Linked DNA regions of Xenopus tropicalis. The main gene of each other region encodes a partner of the protein of the gene in region 2 in a complex. Links are inferred from orthologs where the notes say so. Each region holds a gene or a part of one and is shown on either strand. Other genes may lie near its edges.

The links.
Region 1: abi1 (region 2) and wasf2 share a complex: the UniProt entries of both Homo sapiens proteins name them as parts of the WAVE2 complex. The link is inferred for Xenopus tropicalis from reciprocal best matches to the Homo sapiens genes ABI1 and WASF2.

The regions. Positions count from the first base shown.
Region 1 is NC_030678.2:78,043,067-78,046,893, forward strand, and holds part of wasf2 (wiskott-Aldrich syndrome protein family member 2), read right to left. Parts: intron 856-3,827; 5' UTR 855-855; coding exon 725-854; intron 274-724; coding exon 139-273; intron 1-138. UniProt on the Homo sapiens protein: Downstream effector molecule involved in the transmission of signals from tyrosine kinase receptors and small GTPases to the actin cytoskeleton. Promotes formation of actin filaments. Part of the WAVE complex that regulates lamellipodia formation.
Region 2 is NC_030682.2:24,995,749-24,999,575, reverse strand, and holds part of abi1 (abl interactor 1), read right to left. Parts: intron 2,876-3,827; coding exon 2,699-2,875; intron 1-2,698. UniProt on the Homo sapiens protein: May act in negative regulation of cell growth and transformation by interacting with nonreceptor tyrosine kinases ABL1 and/or ABL2. May play a role in regulation of EGF-induced Erk pathway activation. Involved in cytoskeletal reorganization and EGFR signaling.

The DNA.
Region 1 (3,827 bases), on a different chromosome or scaffold from region 2:
GAGTCTTACAAGAATTTTGTCTTTAAAAGACATATTTTGACAGCAAGAAGCACCACATTCTTACTGTTGCGACTGATTCCTTCACCAAAAGTGACGCTCATTACATTTCATGGAGGTATTTCTGATTCTTTTTCTTACCCTCTTCCTCCTTGGGGTCCAGTTGGGTCACCTTCACCTGAAGTCTCTCCACCCTTTCCCCCAGAGATCCCACGCGGTGTGCAAACATACTAGCCTCGCTGAAAAGCTCTCCAAATATATCTTCTGCATAGCGACCTGAAAAGGAGGGGTGAATATAATGTAGGTGGAAAGACACTAGGGCAAAGGGAGAGAAAATGCACTGGAGGACAGAGATGAGATTGAGGTGTGGGAGGAAGAAAGAGAACAGAAGAAAAAAATACAGATATAGAGAGGATGAAATAATCCATAAAATAAAGAGAAAAGATTAATGAAAAGGAAGAAAAGGAAAACGACTGGCATACAGTAATAGTTAGGTTAACATCAAAAACTCAGATAGATATATGTTTACTATTCTGTTTTCCTATCTCCATCCCCACAATATTTTGTAACCAATCTTCTCATTATCTCTTATAAATTTATAAAAAGGTGCAATTTCTGCTATCTCTTTACTATAGAATTCTCTTGCCCAAGATCTATAACCTTTTCACTTTCTCCTGCACAAAGTCCTCAATCTTTTACCCCCTCCTCTTTCCCCAGTGTCACTCACTTAGGCTTCCAAGCTGGCGGATGACATTGGACAGAGTCAGGTTGGTCATACATTCCAGTTCACTGCGGACAGGGGGAAGCTTCTGCCGGCACAGGAAGCGCGGCTCAATACATCGAGCGACCAGCGGCATCCTAAGGGAACATAAGAGAAAAGTCAAGGAAATAAAAATAAGGATGAAAAGCAGATGAAGTGGTAATACAAACGGATTTTGTAGCAGTAAAAAAAAAAACACATTTTGGGGCTTGGGGTGGCACACGAAATCCCAGAAAGCAAAAGGAGGGTAAAGGATGAGCAATGAAACATGTTCTATACAGCTGTAATATTTACATTAGAGAGAAGCTTGGAACCCTCTGTTATTAATGTACCTAGCATGGTCTTCATTAGCAGAGCACAAGAATGGTACACAGATAATCAAAAGCACATACACCACACACCCTATCTAACAATAAGCATCACATACTGGTAATAATCACACTGCTCTGTGATGGAAAGTAGTGCATTGCTATACATGTTTTTGCATAAGGCATAATGCTACACAGTAAGAATAAGCACAATATATATATATATATATATATATTTATATTATAAATATGATTTGTATTTCTGAGCACTTCTGTAGAATGACACAGTGCCCAAACCCAATGATAATGCACACGCACTGCTCTGTATACTGATGCCAAGTCTGTATAAACTGATAATGAGCATGTTGTGAATCCTTGTACAAGTCACAGGTAGGGAAGGATGGGGGTGTTGCAGGGAAGCAGAATGTTCTGGATAGCTATGCGGATAGACAGGAGGATGTAATGCTTTGGCAGAGAGAGAGAGAGAGAGAGAGAGAGAGAGAGAGAGGAGGGGGGAGGAGAGCCTCTGCCGGACATCCTTAATTAGCAATTCCCAGCATGCACTTAGAGCCACGGGAGATAGCAGGCTGACTAAGTATGTGCTGCATGCATGCATTTTATACTGGTTATGTGTGTGTGCAGAGATACAGGCAGATACAGAATTACACAGACTGAAACACACAAACACACATTAAGTCCCAGCTACTCGCTACTGTCAAAGGGATGACTCAGTGTGCAGGGATTTGTTTCCTCCCACTTCAGAGGCTAGCACTGGCCTGATCACGCAGGCAGGAGGCTGCAGGCCCTGAAGGGATTAGGGACAGACAACTGCCAAGAGAGCCAGGTGTGAGAGGCTGGCACACCCCTCCTCCCCAGCTCATTGGTTACAGCTTGGAGCCTGCAGCAAGATACTGCAGCTGTAACCCCTTCAACACATGAACCGACACTATTCTTGCCTCTCTCTAATTACAACTATTTGTATGTTAAAAACCTCCATGTATTCATATGAATATATAAAATGAATTTATATAGGGAAGGCCAACAGCTGGGACTCCATGAAAGCCTAAAGGAGACAACTTAGTGTAACACATATAGAGGACAGTGATAGCAGGTATAAGCAAACACACCTTGATTACTGCTTACCAGCCCGATAGGCACTAAAGGAGGAAAACAATACATTCCCTCCCTTAAAAAGCAAACCAAAAAAGACAGCCCCCCTCAGAGCTACCAAAATGACTGCTTCCACTTCCTCTTTAGCGTTAACACCACACCGAGCTGCATGCATCACATGATACCAAACTATCAGCTCTTGATCGTAGGGCATCTGTACAGAACACTACCCAGAATGTGTAGGGCAGGATTTCCCCATCTATGACTTGTACAATTTCTCTTTGTAACATACAAAGAAACTGTATGTGAAGATGATTGACACTGAGCAGTCAACTCACATCAGTGGGTGTTCATGGGATTGTGGAGGCTGTAGCAACAGGTAAACTTGAACAACTGGTATCAAGCTAATTGTTATGCAGCAGAGTATACATTAGAGAAAAATAGAGATATGAATATACATTATAAGAGGAAACAAGTGACAGATAATAATTGCTTAGAATTCTGAATAGCAAATGCATTTCTGTAAGGGATTTAGTGTTAAATTGCTATTTTACCCCAAGTAAACAAGTAGTTAGGAACCAGTAAAATGGTACAATAAGGTTAAGTTTCATGTAAACTGCCTCCACCTTGGTGACATATGCTTACTATATAATGATATATTGATTTTTGCCTACTTGGGCAGATTTTGATATTCTAGGCCAGTGCTGTCCAACTTCTGTTGTACCGAGGGCCGGAATTTTTCCGACCTACGTGGTGGAGGGCCGATAATGGAAACCACTCCCCTTTTTGAAACCGCACCCACTTGAAACCACACCCATGTTATCACATGACCATACCCATATTAATGGTTGTAGTACAGCAAAAACCTGCCATACTCTGCATGCCCTACCCTGCCTGTGTGTGCCATACTCTGCCTTCCCTACCCTGCCTGTGTGCCATACTTGGCTGGTTTGTGCCATACTTGGCCTGTGTGTGCCATACTCTGCCTTCCCTACCCTGCCTGTGTGTGCCATACTCTGCCTTCCCTACCCTGCCTGTGTGTGCCATACTCTGCCTTCCCTACCTTGCCTGCGTGTGCCATACTTTCACTGTGTTTGCCATTCTTGGTTGGTTTGTGCCATACTCTGCCTGTGTGTGCCATACTCTGCCTTCCCTACCCTGCCTGTGTGTGCCATACTCTGCTTGCCATATGATGCCTGTGTGTATGGCACACACAGGCAGCCTACAGTGACACAATGCTGGCACTGCTCCTACAGTCTGCACAATAACTATATATTAAAAAACTTTTTAATTGCAGTACCACCTCAGTATATGTTCTTTTTGTAGTGTGCAGGGATTATTTGTGGGTTTCTACTGCTCCTGAGGTGTGAACAGGGGAACAATGGGGGTGATTACAGTCTGAGCCTGAGGTGTGAACACTGCAGGGGGTGAACAATGCAGAAACTAAAAGGTGTGAACAACACAGGGGATTACATATTTAAACAATACAGGGGGATTACAGCCTGAATCTGAGGTGAGAACCATGCAGGGGGCCAGTTAATCACAGTACTGATACCATTTAAAGCTTACACAAGAGTAAGCCATCAAAGCAGCCAGACAGGTGGGGGGCCACACAGAGGGGGGTCGCGGGCCGCATGCGGCCCGCGGGCCGC
Region 2 (3,827 bases):
TCCCAAGAACACTCTTATTGGGTTTATTCAATATTTGACTGATTTTTTTCAGACTTAAGTTATGGAGATCCAAATTACGGAAAGATCTCTTATCCGGAAAACCTCAGGTCCTGAGCATTCTGGATAACAGGTCCCATACCTGTTCTAAAGTCCATCCCTCTGGCTCTTGTGAGGCACTGCTTACACACAAACCAAGGGCACACATTCATGCTAGTACAGCAGCCAGTGTATGGACATTGTTTGGAGTTGTATTTTATTTTTTTAATCCCACACATCTTCCTGTAACATCTAGAAGCTGCGTTATTTCCTGTCAGCTGATCACACAAGGTGGCTCAAAGTAAAAGATGCAACTGGGTAATATCAACTTCTAATTATAAAGCAGCTGAATAAATTTGTATGGCTGGACACTTAATAGCATATAAATGATCTAATATGGTTCAGAACTTCTAGTTCTCCTTTAATGCATGGCAATTCTAGTTATCTCAGTAGATCTGCAAATGTCCATTCAAGCCATATTGTCATTTCATCATAAAATCTGCATTCAAAAAACAAAGGAGGCAGACAGGTCTTGTGGTGCGTAAGGCCAGAAACTGCTGTGACCATCCCTTTAAAGGGCGACCAACAAAAAAAATGGTTCCATTTACTTTATACAAATGCCTGGAGATTTAGGCTTTGGGGCTGTAAGCAGGGTGGAACTTGTTGCCGCCATATAAAATAATCAAACACCAGAAGATAATTATATATACACCCCTTGATGGTCTGTCAGACCCACAACAACCATTTTATGTATATGGAGCCATTTTATTTGTATTAATGGACCTTTAAGGGTAAACTTTTATTTATAACATGCAACGTGTAGTACCAACAGACTTAGATGCAGTGATTTACACACCCATTTAAACAGACAATTGTGTGAGCATTTCATAACAGTGCAAAATAACTACTTTATTGAAGGCCAAGGCTACTGTAAGTAGTATAATGCAGCCAGTGTACTGTAATACAATTTGCAGTTGGTCTTTTTAATGTGAATACAATAAGTTTGTTTTACAGTTCTCCAGTGAACACTATGCAATTACTTGTGTCACTGACTGAAGGGGGGAAAACATACATTTTACACACATTTATATATCTTTGAGAAAAAAAAAAGTCAACTGCAAAGTTGCTTAGATTACCTACATCTTCTATATACTAAAAGTAATGTGAGAAAAAAAAACTTCATGAAACTATGCTTAATTAGATCTTTAAATAATGTCATGACTGCTGATGGTGAGTGAGAACTGCAGTTGTTCCGGGTTATTAAGGCTTTAGCAGTTAAGGGTTAAGGGACTGTATATACCTATACACAACTTTACTCAGCATGGCCACAATAAACAGGACTTGTGCTGACAATGCATTCTGGCTATACTTTTCATTAATCTAGTAATTAAAAGTTGTGTTGCATTTTATAGGAGCACTCGCCCCCCAACAGGTGTGCAAATGCATATAAGGACCTTTATATAAACAAACCCCTCCCTTGCCTATGCTGAAGCTTTTGAGATAAGGAGCAGTGTATTATACAGAGGGCTTATCTGTGAACTGTTCTCTTTTTTTTTTATTATTATTTCTACCACCTACTACTTCTCAAACAGTGACAAGGAAAAACAAGGAAGAAACATGAATTGAGACAGGAAGTTGGAAAGTTAAAGTGGTTATAGTTTTTGTTCTAGGCAAAAAATAACAAAAACCATAGATATTCCTTAATTAAAATAATAGGCAAAAGATATGTTCAGCACAAGCCCAATTCATTGAGCTCTAGATGAAATGGAAGGGGGGGAGGGGTTATCCTGGAGCTATAAGTATTGATATACAGTATATTGATATTTCATTCTACATGTAACTGATCAAAACATTAACCAGTGACATCTTGCCGTAGCACACAGCACAGACAAACACTGCAGGAAAAGACAAGATAAGAACTAAACAAAAAACAGCATGAGAAAATATATAAAGTTGTTGCATAAAAGATAATTCATGTTGCTATAAGTAATAAAGAAAAGATAGCTGCCCTGTTCTTCCCAGCTTATTTTCTCTTGCAGCCATAACATGCAAACCAGCTGGTAAATCAATTAAGGCTTAAATTAAATATAAATCCTTGAAATAAATGTATGTAAAATAGCTCAGAGCAATTTTACAATTAGCTGAAAATTAATTTTATGACAAAAAGAAAGTCTTGTAATGTGGATCTGCTTTGAAAATGAAGATAGTGAGCAGAGAAGAGGCATCTGACGCTTCTCTGGTCGCTTCGAACCAGAGCAACGTTACAAGACATTCCTTTTCTAACCAAATTAATTTTCAGCTGACTGTAGCCAGTTGGCCAAAATGACCAGCAGGTGGTGGTGTTGTTTAAAATTCATTATATTAGCAGACAATATTTCATCAAACATAAATTTGGCTTCTTTTCAGGTCATGGACAGCCCCTATAGATAGAGTATATATTGGAATTCTGTGTTTCTTTAATCTTTCCAGTACCCCCTTGCTTTAGAAGTAGGTAGATTACAGGATGTTATCCAAGTACAGTTATTCCTCACTAAGCCAATATGTGAGTGTTTTGCCAACATATTTCTATTCCATATTAACATGGATGAAGCCACCATACATGAGTTGTATACATACATGAGTTGCATACAAGGGCAGCATAGGAAGCAGAGAAGCAGCTTACTTGAGTTTTGAGAATACAGAGGCCCGCCGTTGACATGAGGTTGGCCAGAGAACTGAGAAGTCACAGAAGGAGTCCGTCTGTAGCCACCAGAAGAAGCAGAGGAAGTGGTGGAGTTGTGCCGAGAGATCTGCCTGGTCATTGAGCCAAACTGGGAACCCGGTGCTGAGCCTGTGCCCACTGCAAACAATTTGCCAGCAGCGATAGCATAGAAAGCAAGGAAGCATCAGTAAAGCGGTAAGGAAGAACCAAGCTAAGCACTGACATCACCCAAATCGCATTTAGGCTTTAATGCCAAAACACATACAATAAAATTGCTGTGCCACTAGATAATTTCTATTGATGCTATAATCCTCCCAAATTCTGTCAAAGACCTTGGTGACTGTCCAAGGTTCAGCCTGCATGCCACTGACTGATCTATTTGCTTGTTTGGCTTACATGCAGGGTCTGACTGGGTTGATTCACAACCCAGAAATCTAGTCTAAAACTCAGAATGTTCCATCCTGCCCAATAAAATTAAATTGGGCAGTTGCATTACTTTGGACCTATTAGTGAACAGATGCAAAGACAATTTGTTCAGAAACAACCCACTGACGCAACAAGAGGCATGATCTTAAATAATCAAGGAATGGAAAATTACATATTTGTTTTTTTTCTGGCTAAGGCCAAGAGTAGGCCATTCCGATTAGACCCCACTCATTTCCACAATTCCACCTACGCTTAACCACTACTAACCCCAGTAAAAATGCTGTTTCCTGGGGAGAAATTACATCAATTATTTCAACAATCCATCACCAAATAATGAGTTAGATATTAGCAGTTTAGATGCATGCTGTTTGCTAAGTACCTATTCTTGTACACTTTCCTTTGTGCCATCACACACTGAATGTTCTGGAGTTTATACAACTTACATGTATATAAGGAAAACTTCCTCACTACATTCATTATGAAGGTTTTACCTCCACGTATATCTGATGGCAAGGAAGGTCTGCAAGATTTCTCCTACGGAAAGCCTCTTAAATGAATGCTCCAAACAAGCTGATGGATATTGATTGCTCTGACATGACTGCTTGCTTGCTGCTAATCAGTTAATAAACAAGTAAATGGAAATTAAATGTGATGTTCTATGGAT